3 linked regions of the Oreochromis niloticus genome follow. The protein of the gene in region 2 purifies or fractionates together with the protein of the main gene of each other region. This does not show direct contact. Links are inferred from orthologs where the notes say so. Each region holds a gene or a part of one and is shown on either strand. Other genes may lie near its edges.

Region 1 (7,861 bases), on a different chromosome or scaffold from region 2:
CAGGAGCGTCAAACAGCTGCTGGCTCTGTCCAGATGTTGCAGAGAGCATCCTCATGACTGAGGGCCCTCGCCTGGGTGGTAACGACTGGGTATTTGAACAGGACAACGCTACAGTACACAACGCCATAAAGGACAAAGGACCTCCTCCAGGAGAATAACATCGCTCTTTTGGACCATCCCGTGTGTTCCCCTGATCCAAGTCCAGTGGAGAACCTTTGGGGATGGATGGCAAGGGAAGTTTACAGAAATGGACGACAGTCCCAGACAGTAGATCGCTTCGTGCGGCCGTCTTCACCACTTGGAGAAATGTTCCCACTCACCTCATGGAAACGCTTACATCAAACATGCTGCAACGAACTTTTGAAATGATCAACACTAACGGTGGAGCGGCTCATTACTGAGTTCATGTTTGGAACTCTGATTTCTGTTTTGGGGGGTTTACAGGTATTTTTGGAGGTGTGGTCTTAAACTAAACTGTAAAACAGCCTGTTTCAGTTTAAGTGTTGTTTTCAATAAACTACACGCTCAACAAAATGTTTGGTCTCACTCTCATTTCTTGTTCATGTTGAAGCTCTACTTGGGAACTTGTTAAGATCCAACCATGCAAAATATGATTTTTTTTCAAGTGATCTTAAACTTTTGATCGGGACTGCATCAGTATGGATACACTTCTTTATTAATCCTATGACAAACTGACAGAAATAGAAACGGACAAACAACACATAACGAAACTTAAGCTCCAAACTAAAAGAAAGGTTAGGAAGCATTGATCTGTGGCTTCCTGTACAGTAGATGGAGAATTTAGCCATGTGCATTCCAGTGTGTTCTTTTCTCTGACTCTCCACCTGTCTGCCTGTATCCTGCTGATCCTCCTCCACCCCCTGTAACACTGACAGGTGGATGGTCCTTGACCTGCTGACCAGGGAGGTAGTTTCTGAATCCACTGACGGGAATGAGCAGCTGTCTGTCATGAGATATTCACCAGGTCAGTCAGTAACTCCTCCTCCTATCTTAACTGTAGATGTGACAGATTAGGGTGGTGTTCACATCCAACCACGTGGTCATGGAGTTGGAGTTAATGATCTCCTTCACACAAAAAACATGCAGTAAACTTTGAGTTAAAGCTTAAAACTATTTTCACAGATAAAAGATTTTTTTCTTGTTTTGTTTTTTGTTTAAAATTTTCATTCTCCGAAGCCAAATAAATTATAGTCATAAAAAATGCGCAGTCATAGTTTATGAGTTATTTGTGCATTGATTTTGTTTATTTGCCAAAGTAGACAGAGAGACAGGAAACGAATAGAGAGGGTACCACGTACCAAAGTTTCACAGTGGGAATCCTCTTTGACTGTGAGGGACCGCTTGCTTTTCAGATGGCAGCTTCCTAGCTGTTGGATCACATGACAACTTCATCTACATCTACAGTGTGACAGAGAGTGGCAGGCGTTACACCCGCTTTGGAAAATGTAATGTGAGTTAAACTTTAAATTATTTCTTCTTGGTTAACATCTCCATCAAATATGAGCCTGCTCTAGTGCTGTATTTTCCTTCTTGTCAATAAATCTTGTGTACAGACTTCCATTGTTGTCCACATATTATTACAAATCACACTGATCAGTGGAATGACCGTTACCTTCACAGCACAGAATCAGCTTTAGTGAAGGTTACAAATGATCTTCTTATGGCCTCTGACAGTGGACTCATCTCTGTGTTAGACCTCAGTGCAGCGTTCGATACTTTTGACCACAATATTTTATAACAGCGATTAGAACATGCTGTAGGTATTACAGGTACTGCGCTGCAGTGGTTTGTATCATATCTATCTAATAGACTCCAGTTTGTGCATGTAAATGGAGAGTCCTCTTCACACACTGAGGTTAATTATGGTGTTCCACAGGGTTCAGTGCTAGGACCAATTCTGTTTACATTATACATGCTTCCCCTAGGCAGCATCATTAGAAGACATAGCATACATTTTCACTGCTATGCAGATGACAGTCAGCTCTGTCTGTCCATGAAGCCAGATAACACACACCAATTAGTTAAACTGCAGGAATGTCTTAGAGGCCATCCAGGTCTTTGTCTTTAACTTTCTGCTTATAAATTCAGATCAAACTGAGGATATTGTACTCGGCCCTGAAAATTGTAGCAGTATGCTATCTAACATCTGTTAAAAATAGTTCATGTATTTGTTACTTTTAGGCTGGTCCACTGTAATTTCTTATTGCTATTATTATACTCATGCTAGACATTAGAAAGAATGCCGTTTAAATGCACTTGAACATTAACTTCACTTTTAATGACCTGGAAATCTTTCATATGCAACGTGTGGTATGGAGCTTGCAAACACGGAGATTAATGCCAAAGACGTTTATGGAGTTTTCTGATGAAAATCCAGAATAAAAGCTTTGCTTGCTTTAGCTAATATGACTGACACTCTGTCTGCTTATCTGTTCGATCAGGGCCACTCCAGCTTCATCACTCACCTGGACTGGTCCAAAGATGGGAAGTACATCATGTCAAATTCAGGCGACTATGAGATCCTTTACTGTAAGTGAACATCCAGCACTGTGCTTTTAGTGCTGTTATAGGAATGCCATGCAGTACGTTCTTTAGCTTAGTGACTGTGTTTTAACAGGGGACATAGCAGCAGGATGTAAGCTGCTGAGGAACCGCTTTGAGAGCAAAGACAGAGAATGGGCCTCTTATACCTGTGTGCTAGGCTTCCACGTGATGGGTGAGAAACTCCAAGCAAAATGCTGTTGTCCTCCTTTAGCATTGCATTAACGTCATGGAGTTCTTTTATCCAATCAGACTGATGAGTGTGGTACTGTGGTGTTCAGGTGTGTGGCTGGAAGGCTCTGACGGCACAGACATCAACGCGCTGTGTCGCTCCCACAACGAGAAGATGGTGGCTGTGGCTGATGATTTCTGTAAGGTTCATCTGTTCCAGTACCCCTGTCCTAAACTCAAGGTAACTATTTTCTTTTTTAAATAAGAACCAAATGATGAAAGTGAGCCAGTTTTAAGAGTTAGAAACAGTTAAACCGTTTGCCAAAGTCAGTCCAGCTCAAGCAGATCAGATAACCCACGTTAACGGTTTTGTACACAGTTGTATTCGTTCATTAAAGCAGTGTTCAGATGACACACGGATTGATTTAATAAGCTGCTCAGTTTTCAAGAGCAGGTCACATCTTCTAAGACCCTGAGCCCGCTGTGTTTGTAGTGCTGTCACTACAGTTGTGGGACATTCAGTCCAGATTCAGCATTAACAGTAGGAACCTTGTAGAAAGGTGTTTATCCTAGTCTGGAAAGACAAATTGGGGGGCGGGGGACTGGGATATGATGGGCCTTCCTCTGCGCTGACCCAAAGTGGACCTGCTTCTTTTCTCTTCAGGCACCAAGCCACAAGTACGAGGGCCACGGCAGCCACGTCACCAACGTCTGCTTCACTCACAGTGACTCTCACCTGCTCTCCATTGGCGGGAAGGACACTTGCATCCTTCAGTGGAAGGTGATTGGAGGTGGGGTGGGTAACAGCCAGGAAAGACTGGCCTCGGCCTCATCCACCTCTACCAGCTCTCCAGAACCTGCAACCAGCTAGGGAGACGGCTGCTTATAAGAGTGAGGGAAAGCAGGCTGTTTTCTTACAGCCGCAGAGGCATCGAAGTGAGTTATGGGCTCAGTATATCCTCTGGACTGACACTGCTGCTAGTTTCATGCAGAACATCCTCTTCAGGAGGAACATCCATGTTAATGTTATGCTTTAAATCCTTGTGAAACTGGACAGTGTGTGTGATGTTTCCCATAAGACAGAATCCTCGTCATTCTGTTGTGTATGTGGTGAGAACTGTTCTTGTTTGATTGCTGGTGCAGAACAGTGCTGCACTGCCATAGTGCCTGTGCACGTGATTTTATACATGTTTTAAACAAGGTTTGGTTAAAATCTCAACTTTTTATATGCTTAGACTGTGACAGGCCTGTCCCATTAAAATCAACTCAGCATCTCTTACTAATTCATTTCTCTAACAGTAGATCAGTACACTTGAAAATTATTACTTTAGTGCAGTTTTGTATGTATTTAAATGAACGTCGGCAATACTGTGATGTCGTATCAGCTGAGCTCCAAATAAATGAGAGAAGACTCAGAGGTGTGTTGTGTGTGAAGTGTCACTAGTGGGCAGTGCCACTCCAGAACCTGTGAGTGTGTTCCTAAATAACAGGTCTCAGGTGAGAACACTTAGGACTGAAGTCTCAACAAATGTGTTTTCATTGAAGACAGCAGTAAAGTCTGTGGTGCCCTCCGGTTGGGATGCAGTAAAGGTACATGGTTTAAGGTGGAAAATATAAAATTAATTGAATAAAATGAATTCAATCATTAACTGCCTTTAGGTGTGATGCTTCAGTAAACTGATTTGCTCTCCAACACTGCCATCTATTGCACTACCAGCAGCCTGTACAAGAAAAACATAACTGTTTATAATACTTGTATCTCCTTTTTAACAGCTTCCGTCCATTCAAAATTTGACCTATTTGGGGCACATTTGCTGCCATCATTACACTGACTGGTCTGTATATTCTCTGAATTTGCAATATTAAAGCCTGTGTTTGTGTGTAAATCTTGTAAATAAGCGTTTGTTTCCGGTAAGCATCCTGCGACACTTTTTAAACTACAAGCAGTAAAGTAAGTTTAGCGTGTCGTTCATTTCATAAAACAGACGGTCTGTGTCACTAAACCAGCGCCGGTGAACAAGTTGACTGTGAGACGTCGGTGATTGTCGACAAAATCCGAAGTTGACGATTTGTACACGAGCGGGGGGGGGGGGGGCTGTGTGTGTGTGTGTGTGTGTTTGTCTCTGTGTGTGCGCGCGCGCTGAACTGAGCGGAGGTGAAGAAGAGGAGGATGAAGCTGGGAGCGGAGGATGGGAGGAAGAGTGGAGTAAGAGACAGGCTAGCTGTATGTGAATAAGTGAGTGAAGAAGAGGAGAGGAAGGTCGCCAGAGAGAGAAAATATAAACTTCTATTTTTGGAGATAATTGCCGGAGCGTCGCCAGCGGAAACTTTCAACTTTTTACCCGCCACTGCTCTCTTGTTGTACCCAGAGCCGGCTTTGTTTCGCGGCGGGGGTGTTGACGATAAATGAAGGAATAAAATAGACTCCCATCGACCTGTTTCTACCCAAGCGGGGAATACCCTGGGACTGCTTCTGATAAAGGTTACGAGAGAATGGCGGCCAACATGTACCGAGTGGGAGGTAAGGAATGGTTTACATTTTTAAGACACCCCTTCAACGTGATTGTTCGCTTCTACTGGGAGCTGGCTAACTAGCCGCTAGCTGTCTCTGCTGTTAGCAGCTAGCTAAAGCTAGCGTACGCTGCGCGACTCCGGGCTTTCATCAAGACCGTCAGATCTGCCGAAACAATGTAGTATGACTTAGCTTACAGACAGACGTAAATAACTTCACATTGATTTGGTTTCCACACAGCTGTAGCCAGGTAGAGCTGCTTCTGTGTTCGGACTATAATAATACAATACATTGAGCAGTGTATATTTGTTTTAAAGTTCAACTTTCAGAACAGATCTGTGTTATATCCCAGTTAGTTCACGCCATCATAGTACCGTACCACAGGGCGGCCGTCGCACAGCATGAACCGGTTCTGAAAGTTTGTATTTATATAAATCCATCCAGCCAGCTGGATCCAGGAGATCCAAACATATGTGGTGGTTATAGATAAGCGAAATAACAGTAAATTGTCCAATTCTCTGACGTGTAGTCTATACATTTGATAACGTCCTCAAAATGAACACAATGCTAGCTAGCATTAGCTGCTGGCTGTTGAGAAGTAAGCATCTAGCTAAATTTGGTGACGTCTGTGATGGCTTGCTAACACCGCTCTGCTAGCTGTGTCAGGCTGGTAGGTTAATTTCATTATCGCCTCCGCCATATCACTAGATGTGCTAATTCTGGCTGCTAAGTCCTGTTAGCTTGGCGTAATAGCGGTACTACCAGAGCTTAGTTAAAATTGTGTTAAGAATTTAGTTTACAGACTGTGGACAGTTATATTGGAACACCTGCAAGTGAACGACTGAATTTGTACCAAGTTAAGTGGTAATAAGTCGTTAAGTTCTCGTTTGTTAAAAATGTTTTATCAGTACTTCATGACTGCAAAGGAAACTGGTATGTCGGCGGTATTAATCAGGTAATTAGTCATTAATATTATCTTTCGCAGCCCCCCGCGACACCAGTGGCAGGCATTTATAAGATGCAGTTCATTTGGAGTTTGCTTTGCACCGTCAGAAAATAAACTAAACTATGGTTCATACAAAGCAAGCTGCTGTTTTCTACTGTTAGTTTTCCAGTCGGATCATCTGGACAGTTGATTCTGGGCTTCAGTGTTGATTGTGAAACATTTTCAGTGCTAAGCCTCGGAGACGGTGCTAGCTACGGGTGGACTGAAAATCTTTGAGTGGGGGGAAGGCTAATCGCAGTCTCACGAGTGTGTGGGGTATTTAGGTCATAGCGATTAAACTATGCTCTGCAAAACATGCTGCATATTTCTGCGCTTAATGTTTGAACAGTTAAAGTGGGGTTTTTTTTCCCCATTAACTTCTTATCACTTACCCGCAAAAATACACACACTTACGTGTGTTTTTGTGTGTGTGTATGTTGCATATTATTGCCGGTTTCTCTCCTCTGACTTCAGCAGTGCAGTTTCATGGATCCACGTATGTTGCTGCTAAAACACTTGACCATTCGGCTTTAGGATCACTGCTATTGTAGCTACTATTTGTGGAGAGATGTGCAGGGTTTTATTTTTGTTGAGAGCAACAGAGCGCTATGTGGAAGGAGAGCCAATTTAGAAATATCATCTAGAAAATTGTAGTAATTTTGTAAGGTGGGTTCCTAGACAAAAACCTATTGTTTGGAGCTAATTATTGGAATTTATAGAAGAGATAAAGCATCAGAAGACAAAGCTTGGCACTGATCATGCACTAGCTAAAGAGAATTGTTGACGAAGGTTTATATGGAAAATTGTCAGAAAATTAAGTGTGAAAATCAAGTGTTGATTTGAGTCACATTTGAACAAAGATGAAGTTTTCTTTCCTCAGGATGAGAATTTTTTTCTTTTACAATACTGTGTCATACGTTCTATATGTTACACATTGACAAACGTGCTTCCATCACTTTGTGGTTTGACTGTAGAGGGGCTGGAAGAGCTGCTGGATCTGTCCCAGCCACCTTGCTGGATCAAGTTTGTGCAGGGAAATAAAGGCAATAGTGTGATGCCACATACAGTGCTGCATCAATGAGCCATAAACCCAGGAACAGGATTTTTCATTGGCAAAGACTATTAAATGCATCATTATGTGTATTTTAAATCAATTATAGGGTAAAAATAAACACCTGTACAGTTGTATTTAAAAACTAAAAACTTCAGTTTAAGAGTTCAGTTTTTCTTGTCACTGAGGCTTTATAATATTTTGCATCTGGTGAACTGATCCAGCCAGCAGGGACCTTTCTGTGTGGGTACTTACTGAGTTACCCACTCTGTGATTCTAAACTGGCTGTAGCTGTGGATTGTTGTCTGTCTCTGTATTAAGCTGGTTTCATGGTCCCGCACGTATCTGTTCACATACACAATCTAGATTGGAACTACTGAATGTTGACTGGTTGACAAGTGGGCCGGAATAGAGAAGGGAGCAAAGTTTACAGGAAACGGGAGAATGGAGAAAAACGCTCCGACGGTGGTTGCAGTGACACTTTTGTTTTTGTTTCACTTCAGCTTTTTGTATGTCAGAACTTTTCTTTTCTCAGCGTGTGGCTGAAGGACATGGATTCATGGACAGTGAATAAGGCACT
Region 2 (7,249 bases):
ATGGTCCTGACTGCCGTCTTCCGCAACAAGAAGTTCCATTCGGCTATGTTTTTCTTCATCGGCAACCTGGCATTCTCTGACCTGCTTGCAGGCTCAGCATATATAGCCAACATTTTTCTATCAGGGGCAAAGACATTTGAGCTGTTCCCAATACAGTGGTTCATCAGGGAAGGCACAGTGTTCATTGCTCTGTCAGCTTCAGTCTTCAGCCTGTTGGCAATAGCTATAGAGCGCTATATCGCTATCACCAAGGTAAAGGTGTATGGCTCGCACAAAACATGCCGAATGTTTCTGCTGATCGGAGCTTGTTGGGTTACCTCCATCCTTCTCGGAGGACTCCCCATCATCGGCTGGAACTGCATCGACAACCTCCCTGAATGCTCGGCAGTTTTGCCACTTTACTCTAAGAAATACATTGTGTTTGTCGTCACTGTTTTCAGCCTCCTACTACTCTCTATTGTCATCCTCTATGTGAAAATTTATTTGATTGTACGCTCCAGCCACCAGGAAGCAACCAACTCACAAGCCTATTCCCTTTTGAAAACGGTCACAATAGTGCTGGGAGTCTTCATTGTCTGCTGGCTGCCCGCTTTTACAATTCTCCTTCTGGATTCGTCCTGCAGCATATATTCCTGCCCTATCCTCTCCAAATCAAGCACCTTTTTTTGCATTGCCACCCTGAATTCTGCGCTTAACCCAGTGATCTACACGCTGCGCAGTAAGGACATGAGAAAGGAGTTCCTCCGTTTGATTTGCTGCTGGGGCGTGCTGCAAAGTGGGCGGCCTTCTGAACGTTGTCTGGTCCCTCTAAAGAGTTCCAGCTCTCTGGAACACTGCACCAACAAACTTGAACACCAGAAAATGCCTATTATGAAAGAATGTACCACCTGCGTTTGATAGGGTCCAAGGATATCATGTGTATTCGTGTGAGAAAGAGAAACGAGCTAGCACGTCCTGGATCTAAGACATGTGGGTGAGGCTGGGACAAAGCTGTCTTTGAGACACAGACTTAAATCTCCTATTACAATTGATACTGTGTGAATTTATAATCGGTATGCAATTAAAATCACCCATGCAGCTGGTGTAAAAATGCAAGAGGAAACCAACGTAGTAAGTGAGAAACCAAAACGTTCTTATGGGTACTTTTCTCGATTGTGGAGCAAACCATTTTCACGTATATACCTACGATCGTGTTCATCTTTTAAATGTGTTAAACCCTTTTAAAAGCCAAAAATAATGTGCATAATATCATAGTTATGTAATAGCTGTTTGGGACTTTCAAGAACTGTGTCAATGCAAAGCTTGCAAAATTGCACTTTGTAGTTTACTGTAGAGATTTTTGCCCTGTGTAAGATTAAACCACATTACTCTTCCTCACTGAAATATGTATGCATTAAGCTTAAAGTTGCATCACTCATTATTTACAGAGTCGATGGCAGTGGTCAACTGAAACAAAATGACTAAGTAGTCCTTTGACAAAACCAGGACTATATATTCCCTATATAACCGTACCTTTTGATAAACTACAACAAACTTGTGTAATCTGCTCACATTTAATGCATGAAACTCAGACTGTAAGTGCTAACGTGTATGATATACTCCAGATACGGCTTCCATCACTAACACCCCTTCCCTTATTTGTCCTCATAATCTGCCCCTCTTGCTTTTACTGTTGTCTTTTGTATCTAAACAGTTTCCGTCAAGGAAGGCCTAATCAGAATGCACATTTCCTTAAGGGAGTAGGCACAGATGGCGAATTTGACTCAATAACAGCTGTTTGGCAGGTTTAACTAAAAGAACAGATGCCCTTGCAGTGTTGTAGTAACATAGAATCAATGTGCTGCCTCTGTTTGTGCCTTCCTCATGGGGGCAAAAGGCTGAATGTATGTATGAAGTGTTCGGGGCATGTGCCCCATTGTCGACAGTATTATTGATCATCATTTGGAATTACAAAGTCATTGACAAACAGAGTGGGATAAACAGGGTAGATCACTCTTACTGTGAATTTTCAAACAGCACCATGAACAAGAATTTGTTGTGACCATCTGGGTTTAATTTGCAAACCATACGCCTTGTGCAACTAAAGATCCAAACCTGTCTCATGTTTCTCAAGACCCCTCACGTTGTCTACAAAATAGGAGAAGATCCGGTTTCAGACGCACGGGAGGTATCTGCCCTCCTGGGAGGTCAGCGTCATCCTCGTTCCCTGACATCCTACAACACGCAACTTCCCTCAGCCATAGGAAGTCCTATTTTTTCAGCGTCCGGTTCCTGTTGTTTAGGCTTACTGTAACCTTCTTCCCATGGACATACAATTAAAACTCTTCTCCATGTCAGTGTTTTTATTTTTTTTATTTTATTTTTTATATTTACTTCTAAATTTAGATGGACACGCACTTTGGCAGCTTCCGTGATGTTTCCTTTCCCCCATTTTTAAAAAGAATCTGTGTACCTATGAGTTTGCCAACTTTTATGTTAAATATATAAATAACTGTGTATGTTTTGTAAGTATGTATGTGTCTTTGTACAGTATGTATGACTTTGTTTTATGCAATGTCTTGTGTGCAATAGTTGTGTGTGTCCAGTAGCACGCTTCCTGTATTAAACTGGTACAATCTGAAACACTAATAGGTACATGACTTTTTGTTAATTTTTAATTCCAGTTTTATAAAAATAAATGAAATACTGAAAAAAAAAAGTGTGCATGTTTAATTTTGAGCTTTAATCAACCAGTGTGGCAGCTGCAACTTTTCTGCATGTCCTGAGTTGTCTCTTTTTTTATTGTGAATCCATCTGAGAAGGAATTAAAATGCAGCATTAAATCCAAACATGCTCTGACAAGGTCAGAAAAACACTAGCCTCAACATGAAAGCCTGTCATTGTTTGTGCAAATACTGCTTTGTGATTAATCATGGCTATCTTACCTGATGAAAATATAGCTTTGCTTTAAGGCTAAAGGTAGACATGAAAAGGATGGGAAGCTGGGCAGAAGACAGAGTGCGGGGGCTAAAAGTGGGGTGTGGTGGAGAAGATGGCCTGTTTGTAAGCGCTTGTCTGAGGGAAGCATAAAGGAAAAGCCCCGGGAGAGGTTTTTCTGGGTAAGAGGGATGCTTGGGGTGAGGGGGGAGGCTGACTTATAGAGGCCTTGGGAGTTTGGGCCTGTTTCCTGTCAGACATCCAGGATTCCTGGGTGGGAACGCTGGCTGAATCAGCCCCAGGAGGCTGTGCTGCTGGGATGTCTGCCAAGTCTTTCCAGAGCACTGCAGGATATTACATCAGATTCAGAAACCTGTATGTGAAGTTGTGTACACATAAAGCACAGCCCATGTAAGCTCATTGCTGTAGAACAGCACGAAGTTTGAAGTACTTCACAATTTCGACTAAAGGAAAAGTGAACAAAAACCCTGCCTATTTCTAAACATTATTCAACTGTGCAGTGATTGTACACACAGCTAAACACTGACCAATTAATATAATAACAGAATAAACACGTGTCAATAAAAACTAGTGGTAAAAGCGAGCAGGGTGGGTTTCCATGTGTAACCGTACAAGAACAAACTGACCGCCTGAGATTAATCTTCTGCCAATGACACAGTGCCACCTTGTGGTGGAATAGGCGCGTAGCTGGTTACAGTTGAAGGACCTTGTCTCCTTATTTATTTGCTCATAATGACATTGCAGTCGCCCAAATCAAAATAGCTACATAAAGGACAAACATCTTAAGGCAATCATGACCTCAGGCATAGATAGTACAGTCACACTGGAAGCGATCCACAGTGGATTATCAACAACTGTTATCCTACAATAATACAACAGCTACATTGTGCTTCACATTTACAACGCCATTCAGTCAATGTTTTTTCAATTGTATTGTTTGTTTGTTTTTGTTTTACCAAAAAGTAGTAATACATCAGATGCAGATGTCTTGCTACGATAGCTCATTAGTAAACAACAACTTCCGCCTGGTCAGTCCACTTCGACATCTATCAAACAGTAAGGGTGGATCGAGTTAATTGTGCATTTCTAGATAAAGTATTTCTTTATAAAATAGACTAAAAATTCCGTTTTTCTTTTACTAATAATATTTATGAGATAAACGTGTAATTCCGGTCACAAACGATACGTACATCAAGGATGTATTAAGTCCATCATCGAAACTGTTTTACCTGTACATAGCTAGAGTGGTACAGTCCACAACACCCGGGTTTCCGCGCGAAAAGACGGCCCGCGCGCCCGAATTGCTTATAGCATCCATCTGCACACGACAGACTGTCACCGTGGAGCCGCGCGGTGGTTAATGATAGTGGAGTTTTAAACGGTGTTTTAACGGTTTTAAAACATTTTTAGTCGCTCGTGTCTTACGCTCGTTTACGATGCCAACCAGGACGTCCCTGCCTCTCCCGGACGATGTCAGGAAAAGGTACTGTAATGAATGCTAATAGTGTTCTACTGATGTAGCTAGCTTGCAGCTTTTATTTCAAAAGCCATAACAGTGGCGGTTAAAGCTGAAATGGCAGTCCTGGTGGGTTAGACTTTCTCTGGTTGTCCTGAGCGTTACTGGCGGTTTCCCTTTTACCTGTGCAAACAGATGTTGCTAACATTAGCTTTTTGCCATTGACAGGGCTGATGCGGTATGCACTATTAGCCAGTTAGCATCATTAGCCTGCCAATGGATGGGACAGCGTGTGAGATTTGGCGCCACTCAGGAAGTTTTGTTATCTGTGTTTCTGCTTTCCCGCTGTCAGTGTTTTATTGCTGCAGTATAGTAAAGGAAGCGCTCCCACACGATTCGCTCTGACTTACCCCAGCACTGTTTTGATTCTTCTTTGTTTACAGCTTGCAGAGGTTGGATGAGGAAGGATCTGCAGAAGAGGTGAGTTGTGGACTCAAAACATGCTTATCTAGTAGTTCTGAAACGGAAGTTTAGTGTGGAAGAACTAACTGTTTAGTATTTTAGTTGGTTTCTATACTGTCACCTCAAAGGGAAGTTCCTTGCTCAATCCACATTGCACTCCCCTTATATCATAAATAATTATGAATAAAATGAACGAGGATCAGCTTTAGTCTTCTTTTTTGTGCCATTTTCTATTTGAGCAGTTTCTGGTGGACAGCATAAGGAAACTGACACCAGTGGTGCGAAGTCAACAGGAATCAAAGTTAAATATGTAATAGTTTCCAGGTTGCATATTGTGTCATTAAGTAATGGAATCCAGTTTAAGACAGTTGTGTTCTTTTAGTTTTGTGTATTTATCCTTGTGCGTGTGAGTGCATAAGTTGTGCCTTATTTTTTTTTTTTCTTTTGACATTATTCATTAACTCTTATTCTCTTTTAAAATGTCACTCCAGGAACATGTGAAAGAGAAGCTCAAGTTGGTGCAGGACTTTCTGCATGCTGATGCTCAGGATCAGCTGACCAGTCTGGAGGAAAAAATGAAAAGTTCAGAGATCTCAAAGGTCAGTCAGTTGTAAGTTGTCCAAATTGATATTAATCCTAAAACCGTACTTCACTTTCTGTCATCTAACTTGTGACATATGTCATGTGCCTTTTTTTTAAAGGAGGTCTATATCTCTAAAGTGAAGGCCCTACTTGGAAAAGAACTTCATCTTGAAAATGGCTCCCACGTTGATGACGCAGAGAAGAATGGAAAGACGAATGGCTTTTCAAATGGTTCGCACAAAGACGAGCATGATGAAGATGTAACCATGAGCGTACAGGAGGAGGAGGAGGAATCTTTCAAGTCACCAACTGCTTCGAAGGGGAAGGGTGGACGGAGGAGCAAGGCAAATTCTGACACAAAAAGTATGTTTAAAATCTCTTAAGATGGAGATCACCTGCACATTCAGTGTCTTTCTCCAGTTATTTAAGCAAAGGTAATTTTTAAAAGAATTTTTTTTTCCTTTTGTAGAGTCTCCAGCAAGTACCAGGGTTACCAGAAACAGTGGGAAACAGCCAACCATCTTGTCAATGTTCACTAAAGTGTGCGTATAATAATATATACTTAATTCATTTATGTATTTGGGCCTAAAACAAAACTCTTCCATCACTTTAACCTGCTTGAAATAAATGTCTTTCAGTCAGAAGCGCAAGTCAGAGGACTTGAATGGAGAAGCTGTCAACGGACAGAATGAACCGAAGAAAGATGATGACGTTGAGGAGGTATCGTAATTTTATGTACAAGTAATGTAAAAAACATAAATAGAAGCTGCAGTTTCTCAGTGTCTGATAAATAACTCTCCACATAATTTCAAATTTGTTTTTTGTAGTCTCGGGAGGAGAAGCGTCTCAAAGTGGAGTCGGATGAAAAGTAAGTATCTTTGTCTTCAGAGCACCAATTGTGATATAGCTTATAAAAGCAAATGGGCTGACACTTTTCTTTATGCAGTGCTGCTCCAGAAGAATCCAAGAGTGACATTGCAAAGCCGGTTTCTGCTGTAAAGGTAGTGATTTGGATTGGTGAACTGTAAACATTTTTGGAGGCATTACTGCTTCGTGCTGACTGGATTGTGTTTTTGTTACTGTTCAGACGCCACCACCCAAATGTCAAGACTGTAGACAATACCTAGATGATTCTGACCTGAAGTTTTTTCAAGGGGATCCTGATAATGCGGTGAGAAAACTTGCCACACATAAACTGTAGTTTTGTTTGTTTTAAATTATAAAAAAAAAAAAACCAAACCCATAATTTCTGTGTTTCAGCTGGATGAGCCTGAAATGTTAACAGATGAGCGCCTCTCACTGTTTGACTCCAATGAGGATGGATTTGAGAGCTATGAGGATCTGCCACAGCACAAGATCACAAACTTCAGGTGAGTGATTCTCCATCTTTATAAAGGTTTTGTTCCTGTGAGGTAACATACACAGCTTGTTAGGTTAGAGGAACAAAATAAAACTGCAAGGAGAGAAAGACCTGTGACTGGCAAGAGGGTGACATCAAGCTTGAAAAGATGTGCAGCAGGATAGAGTTGGAAATGTACTATCGAGTCAAGAGGGTGGTGACAGGGTGGAAATAGTGCCTTGAGGAACTCAAGAATGAAGAAAATGACAGAGGGGAACTGTTGGTCAGGAAGTGCAGGGAATAAGTGAGGGCATCTATGAAAAGGATAGATTGGAAAGGTGGTTGGTCAGATGAGGTGGTGGTGGTAGTAGTAACTACAGTGGGATAAAGTTTGATACCATGAAGTATGTGGCTTCACACAGAAAGAGCACAAACAGATTTGATGTTTGCTTTGAGAGTGGTGGAGAACTATC
Region 3 (7,534 bases), on a different chromosome or scaffold from region 2:
TTGTGCTGGAGTTCTCACTGTGCCAGCAAACACATGCCTCAGATTACTCCTATTATTTGTTAATGTGAGCATATATATATATGTACTAAATGCACAGAGGTTAAAAGGAAGATGATTCAATGGATTTCACAGAAAGATTAAAACTTTTTTACTTATCTAATCTGCCAATCATATAGCAGAAACTAAACACATTTAGACATGTAGAAATGGTCAACACACTTTAGTAAAGTTCAAATTGAGCATCAGAATGGGAAGAAAGGTGATTTAAGTGACTTTGAATGTGTCATGGCTGTGGGTGCCAGACAGGCTGGTTTTGGGAAAATCCCAGTAGATCAGCAACAAGCTCACAGGAAGGCAACAGTAAATCAAATAATGTTACAACCAAGGTATACAGAAGAGCACCTGTGAACAAACATGCCAAACCTCGAAGCAGCAGACCACACTGAGTGCCAAAAATGGAAAACAGAAGATTTGAAAAATGCTGCCTGGCCTTTTGAGTCTTGATCTCTGGATTTGGATGGTAGGTAACAATTTTGTATAAACATGAAGGCATGGATCTATACTGCTTGCCCTTCGGGGTTATCGTCTCCTGCACCTCTGATCTGGCCTCAGCCCAGCTGCTTTTTATGATAACTTCCTGACAGACACTTGCATTGCTCGCTCTTTCAACCTAACTGGATATCCTTCAATACTTTTAAGTAATCAGGTAAAGTCTATGGTTTTTTTTAATGTGCCTGTTCCCGGAAACTTTTCTCTGACTTCAAAGACACACTCATTAAAGATGCTCTTTTATATTGCTGGCTTTATTATTGGATAGCTGAAATGTGATCCAATTATAGGAGTATTTTATGTATTTTTTTTTTCTAAATAAAATATAGACTGGCTTTTTCTGCAGATATTTTGTTTATAGAGAACTGACAGTGACAAAAAGCATTTCCTTCAGCTGCACATTTCATAAAATTCACACACACCTTCGGGTCTCAAAGTGTGTAACAAATGTGGAAAGTGTTACAGATAATGAGATCAAACAAGGACAACGCAATACTGCCTATTGCCTAATAAAGGAAGCTTCCTAAAAAGAACAAAGCGCTGCAGAACAGGAATCAGCTGATGGTTTGTTTGAATAACAAATCTTTAAAGGGGAAATGAAACGAAGACATCAAAGTGGTGATTGTTAATCATCTGCTCCACTGACACTAGGATTAATTATTAATCTGTTATCAAAATAATTCATTTCATTGATTGTTTTTTTGCCTAACAAAAGGCCAAACATTCTCCAATAGTGATCAGCCAGTATTTTTTCTATAGATCTTACGGTTTTTATTTAAGGTGGAAAAAAAAATAAATGTTCTGATACTTACTTGTCAATATTCCTTCTTTTGTTGGGTAACTGTTTCATGCTTAGATCTGTCATTATTGGTGTAAGAGAAAGAAATTAAAATGCCACATGACCATTAAAACCATTAATTTGGCAAATAATTGTCTGATTCATACCTTCTTATCTTCACAAAATCTAACTAATGTGAGTAAACTCCTTTTCTGTAAGACTGAGCTAACAGTTGTCAAAATGATTTATAAAATATAGTATTGTACAAAAGTCTTGAGTCTCCCCTGATTTCTTTATATTTTGCTAGGAAAATGAGAAATGGGTGCAGCGATTTATTAAAATGTATGCAAACTTCCAAGTAGGGCTGCTCAATTAATCGAATTTTAATCTCGATTACGATCTGGGTTTTCAACGATCATTAAAAATGACTGAGCCGGTTTTTAGCACCTCCCTCGTGCTTTACTCTCGCGCTGCTCCGTGTGGCAAATCGAGCGCACCTCTCTGCGTTTCGAACACGCGTCACAACAATTAAGAGGACCCGAGGGAAGCTCGAAAAGCTCGGAAAGCTAAGCAGAAGTTATTTGGAGAGAGGATAATGGCTGCTGAAGAAAGAATGCCGTTGGTTGAAAAGAGAGGTAAAACGACTTCAGTGGTGTGGAAACATTATGGGTTCGCGGAGTCAGACGTGGATCAAATATTGTGCAGTATTTTGAAGTTCACTAAACATAGATGTTTACATTTTTCATTTATTTTTTATATTGCAAACATTTGCACTGTAATCAGTATTTGCACACTATTTTATATTATTTTTGACAATCTTTAAAGCCATTATTCAATACATTGTTATTGTTAAATAAATATCGTCAAATAATCGAGATCTCAATTTCAGTGAAAATAATCGTGATTATCATTTTTGCCATAATCGAGCAGCCCTACTTCCAAGGAAATGCAATAAAAAAGGGAAAAACAGAGCTTGTACATTCTAACAAGCTTGAAAGTCAACATTTGGTAAGACCACCCTGAACTCTCTTAAGCAGGTTTTCTTGTCATTTATTTAAGTAGTCTTCAGGAATACTTCAGGCTTACTAATGGCTTCTTTACAGCCACCTACCCACTGATATAATTCCTGAACAGTAGATGAATCAACTGGGGGGTCAAATGCATCTCTCGGGTCCTCTGTCAGGTCTTTGTCGGACTTTCAGATACTGTCCAACAGCTGCAGATTGTTTTTTTTCCTTCTTTGGACCTCTGTGTCTAGCTTAATCAATTTTTAAGGACACACTGCACACCAAGCCAAGCTTTGCCAAGTCTTCAGCTAGTAACTCTTTAGGAACACCTAGTTCATGCAAAAGTACCATTTTATATCTTTGAAAGTGTTATTTTTGGTACTTTTCATAGATTCAACTAAAAAGAAACAGGAATAAATTATGTGTTAAAGCAACAGGCAGGTAACAAAATGCCTCAAGATAAAATTTTAAATTGGTTCTTTGTGAAGTTGTCTGTTATGTGTAGACACAACAATGGTTCATCCCTTAAGTTAGGAGCCTTTTTTAAATGCTCGAATGAGTCATAGGTCAGTCTTGAGTTGCTTAACAAACAGACGCAAAAAAGTCTGTCAGCAGACAGAGAGTAGCAGATAACAACAGACTCAATAAACTGAAGCCAGTAATGTTGTGGGTGTGGAGTCTCTGACAGAGGTTTCAGAAAGGAGGATACTGTCCCAGTTATGGTCAGTATTGGCCAATCCTTCACACCCTCTCCATCTTGTGCTGGACAGCCACAGGAGCTTTTTCACTCCACCATGATGGACCTCATAATCATTCCTACCTAAAGCCAACGAATATCTCTTCCTTATCACACCTCACCTATTTTCACTTGTAATACCTTGTCTATACCGTACATAATGGGGTTTAAAAAAAACTATTTAAATGTAATATTGCACTTTGGGTGCCTTTTTTTAATATACAGTTTACATTTTCTATGTTTCATGTTCATATTTTAAGTCAGCGATTCAGATTCTTCCGAAAATTCAGTCTGTCTGTCTCTCAAAATGTTCAGATACAAGGACTGGACTGAAAGTGAGTGAAAAAAAGAAGACAACATCCTAATAAATATTTTAAAGAGCATTTCAGAAAGCCCGGAGAACTATTGCTCAAGACCACTTTAATACAAATGACAAGAAAGCCTGGCTCCTATAAAGAAATAACGGGTGGCTCAAGACTTTTGCATAATACTGTCTCTCAAGATAATGACAACAAAATAAAGGATGAAAACTGGTCAATTAGCACAATAAATATGTAGATTAAGAATGCTTCTAGTGGCCAACAAAAAATAAGATCCATGGTAGCCGCAAATCAAACTGACAAAGACAATTGAAAAAAAAAAAATCAGTGTTTTTCAATTTTGGTATAACACCAACTAAGGTTAAGAGGACCTATGGGAGGAAATTATATAATGCTAGCTCACTTTAGTGACATGTTATATTAATGGAATCCACTAACTGATGTGATATAAACAGGCTAATTATATCCATGCTTATCCATGTCATGTTTAGGACTTACAGACCCTGAAAAGTTAGACTGGCTAACATTTGAGCTTGAAAAGCGGATATTAAAAAAGATTACCGTTTCGTGCGTTTCAGCAGTAGCGGAGCCTATAATAAACTAGTAAAGGTGGTTATAAGCTGACTATAACACACGTTTTTTTCCTCTTTTCATTCCAGTCCAGCTAGCTAACGTTAGCCACTCACTAACAGCTCCCTTTTCGTGTCGTCTCTTCTTCTATCCAGCAGCAGTCAAACGAACAAAACCCCCTCAGTTATTGTCAAACTTTGTCGCCTGCTCACCTTCGCCTCTCCTCTCCTTGAATGCCTTGCGGGCTCTCCAGAAAGCAAATCGGGGTTCTTTAAATGAAGTGACCATTAAATGAGGAGATGCTAGCCGAACGGGAGCGCTGTCTGTTCATTCCTCCAGACGACACCAGCTTCTGCCTGGGTTTCTGTTTACTTTTCGGCCCCTTTATTTTTTTCGGAGGGGGGTGTAGGAGGCATACCTCGTGACAACAAACACAAACCGCCCCGTATTTCGCCGCTTAGCTGACTTTGAGTCTGTTTTCGCAAGCGACTTCGCCTCGCGGTCAGCCGTAAAACGACAGCACGTACGCTGATTTCTGATCAGCGAGTTTTAAAAAAATTTATGGGCACCACCCCCCTCCCACCATCCATCGAGGGGGCGGGGCTCCGGCCGTGACGCAGCACGCTCACATACGTTGACGGTCACTGGGAAACATGTCGGCATCTGAGACAACGACAAAGGTAGCTAACGTACTGCAGCTGAAAACTGCATGCTAAAGGAATTTACGTCTATTCGTCTACCTTTAAACTCCCCAGTTTACCGATACTGCATACTGCCAAGCTCCTCTTGACTTTGCATGTCGATTATAATAGCTTTTTTTATTGTAACCTAGGCTGCACTGCTAGCAGTGTTAGCCTGTAACAGTTTTGTGTTACCTGCAGGGTTACTCTTATCCAGATGATGTTTTGCTGCTGTTTTGTATTTGTTGACCAGTAACCTTTGTAGCAATCCTCTGTATAGCAAGTATTGCACCTCGATCTGTTTTTTAGGATATGTTTTTATTCGTAGTTGCTAGTTAGGAGCTTTTTTTTTAAAGTAAATGCTGCACCAACGAGAAATTCACAGGAAAAGAAATTAGGATTTTAAGCAGTCGGAGTTTAAAATCCCGTTTTAAATTCACGTTTCTTTTTGGTGTACTGTTGGAGTAAGGGGTTTTTCTTGGGTCGTGTAAAAAGCATGAATGGAATTACTGACTCATGGCGGCAGTTGATGTAACATGAAAGAAATTTTCACCTATTGGCCGACGGGTTTATTTTGGAGATGTGAAGGCCGAAAGTAGTGGGTTTTATTTTTTTACCTAAAATAACTTTAGAATGACATTAGTGACAGTTTTGATTGTACTGTCAAATGAACAGACACAACACTTTTGAGAATGATGCTCACAGTATCCTCATATCCTTGTCCTGCTGCCCCTGGTTGAGGTCCTGTGTTATTTGTCAGTAGGAAGCGTTTCTATCAAGAGAACTTGCTAGGCCCAAAAATATTACCAGGCCAGAGATACAATGAGTGTAGTGGATCCACATTTAGACCTCTAGAGTGCATGCTTTTACATGTACACTGGTGTGAAAAAGGCTGTCAAAGTCCTGTAGCTGAATCCAATTGAGCTGTTGTGGCAAGACATTAAAAAGGCGGTTCATGCTCGAAAACCCTCCATTGTGGCTGAATTACAACAATTCTGCAAAGCTGAGTGGGCTAAAATTCCTCCACAGCGCTACAAGGAGTTATTAGGTTTAGGGGCCAATACCTTTTTCACACAGGGCCATTTGGGTTTTGATTTTTTTTTCCCTTAATAACAAACAGCTTCATTTAGAAACTGCATTTTGTGTTTGCTCGTGTTATCTTTGTCTTATTATTAAATTTGTTTGATCTGAAACATTTAAGTGTGACAGACATACAAAAATAAAGGAAGGGGGCCAATACTTTTTCAAGCAACTGTATATTTTGCATGCATGCAAATATACAATATAATTTCTTTGTGTATTTATTCTACCAATGATTGGTTGAACTGCAATCATTTCATTAAATCATTAAAATAAGAGCCTGTTCTGTTATCAGTTTTACTCGTTTCACTTGTTTCTTGTTTTGTCCACCAGGAGCACCATGAAAATGACGAGTCAAAAACATCAGAGGAGTCATTAGCTGGGTCAAGTCAAACAAAGGAAGGTAATTCACCAGCTGGTTTATGCAGATAATGTTAATATTTGAAATATATTGAAAGACATTGCATTGGTTTGCAATTAAATGACCTGTGAATGCCATTTGATCTCATATGAGTACAGTGAATTGTCATATTAAAGAAATCAGACTGAGATGTTTTGAGCTTTATGACATGCTGCACATCATTGCACTACCATCAAGCGGCAGATTGTAGCATTATGCCCAAGAAATTATTTCTCCTTGATAAACTTTAAAATTCTTGCACTCCGGATATTCCTCAGATAATGCAGCCTTCACCTCATCTGCTGCTGCCACCAAGACGGAGCCCATGGGTGTTATGTCATCACTGTTGTCGTCCCAGCAGCCCGAGAAGGATGCTTCCACAGTCAGAGAGGAAGGAGAACAATGGTCCCCTGCCGCCTCCCCCCAGAACAAACCTGCTGCTGCAGGTGAGCTCAGATTGCATTAGCTGCTGTCGAAATTCTGAGTTGATTTCGTTGATTTAATCAGACTTAGTTTACAAACTGAGGAGATAATCCCTTTTGCTTTAATTTGTCAGGTCACACAGCAAATTCCCTTCTTTCGACGACCTCTTCGTCATTGTCGTCGTCTCCTTCCACATCTTCGACATTGTCTCCTGGCCGAGCAAAGATGAGCGTTTCAGGGCCTGGTAGCAGTAAATCTGTCCTTCCGCCTGGTCCTCCATCATCCTCCTCTTCTTCCTCTACAACAGCTGCTTCTTCTCCATCTGTCTCCCCTGCACCACCCAAGATCCATCGGGCGCGAAAGACGATGAACAGGCCTCCACCAGGGCAGGTGAGAGAGGAGCTACTCCTGTTTGGTATCAATCATATTTGGTAAATATATGGGTTTTCATGATTTATTATCTAGATTTCTACCAGTTGTTAAAGGTGCTTATTTTAAATTATTGTGTTTTAAAAATTGCTTTAAACCTTTCAAAATGACCTAAAGCTGTCAAGAATTTAAATGCCTGTGGAGAAATCCCTGCTGTGTGTCGAACAGGGTTTAAAACTTGGGGAAATTGGATATCATTTAGGAAAACAATGATATTTTTGTTCCTTTCCAGATTGATAGGCATATCTGGACAGTGTTCCTAAACTTGGAAAGGATCAAAAGGATATTTGTTCTTTCGGTTTCTGCTTCCATCACAAGTTTGGTCTTAAATTGCATTTAAAATGACATTAATATACCCACAAACACGCTTGACTAATTTTGTTCCTCAGATCAGTCAAATTGAGACACCTGTTGCATCTGTGACTCCTTCAGGATCTTCAGCCAGTCTTTCTTCTCACTCTGAACCTGGTCAGTAGGTCTAAACTCACAGTAAAAGAGTTAAATGAGCATTAACTACTGCTTTACTTTAAAACTAAGCCTTGTCATGGTTTGCATCACGTTG

The links. The genes of interacting proteins can lie anywhere in the genome.
Region 1: the proteins of DNA (cytosine-5)-methyltransferase 1 (region 2) and mta2 purify together in Homo sapiens (affinity purification with western blotting; 3 studies listed by BioGRID and IntAct, with this or other methods). This does not show direct contact. The link is inferred for Oreochromis niloticus from reciprocal best matches to the Homo sapiens genes DNMT1 and MTA2.
Region 3: the proteins of DNA (cytosine-5)-methyltransferase 1 (region 2) and ehmt2 purify together in Homo sapiens (affinity purification with western blotting; 3 studies listed by BioGRID, with this or other methods). This does not show direct contact. The link is inferred for Oreochromis niloticus from reciprocal best matches to the Homo sapiens genes DNMT1 and EHMT2.

Annotation. Positions count from the first base shown.
Region 1 is NC_031967.2:3,171,850-3,179,710, reverse strand, and holds the start of mta2 (metastasis-associated protein MTA2), read left to right. Parts: upstream 1-4,850; 5' UTR 4,851-5,226; coding exon 5,227-5,254; intron 5,255-7,861. Other genes in the region: eml3 (echinoderm microtubule-associated protein-like 3), read left to right, coding at 897-985, 1,374-1,471, 2,463-2,550, 2,639-2,737, 2,844-2,974, 3,398-3,604. UniProt on the Homo sapiens protein: May function as a transcriptional coregulator. Acts as a component of the histone deacetylase NuRD complex which participates in the remodeling of chromatin.
Region 2 is NC_031969.2:24,059,717-24,066,965, reverse strand, and holds the start of DNA (cytosine-5)-methyltransferase 1, read left to right. Parts: upstream 1-4,235; 5' UTR 4,236-4,373; coding exon 4,374-4,420; intron 4,421-4,836; coding exon 4,837-4,873; intron 4,874-5,346; coding exon 5,347-5,454; intron 5,455-5,556; coding exon 5,557-5,800; intron 5,801-5,906; coding exon 5,907-5,979; intron 5,980-6,075; coding exon 6,076-6,157; intron 6,158-6,264; coding exon 6,265-6,305; intron 6,306-6,383; coding exon 6,384-6,438; intron 6,439-6,524; coding exon 6,525-6,608; intron 6,609-6,697; coding exon 6,698-6,807; intron 6,808-7,249. Other genes in the region: s1pr2 (sphingosine 1-phosphate receptor 2), read left to right, coding at 1-897. UniProt on the Homo sapiens protein: Methylates CpG residues. Preferentially methylates hemimethylated DNA. Associates with DNA replication sites in S phase maintaining the methylation pattern in the newly synthesized strand, that is essential for epigenetic inheritance.
Region 3 is NC_031985.2:15,481,653-15,489,186, reverse strand, and holds the start of ehmt2 (histone-lysine N-methyltransferase EHMT2), read left to right. Parts: upstream 1-4,523; 5' UTR 4,524-4,613; coding exon 4,614-4,640; intron 4,641-6,053; coding exon 6,054-6,123; intron 6,124-6,398; coding exon 6,399-6,566; intron 6,567-6,676; coding exon 6,677-6,933; intron 6,934-7,361; coding exon 7,362-7,440; intron 7,441-7,534. UniProt on the Homo sapiens protein: Histone methyltransferase that specifically mono- and dimethylates 'Lys-9' of histone H3 (H3K9me1 and H3K9me2, respectively) in euchromatin.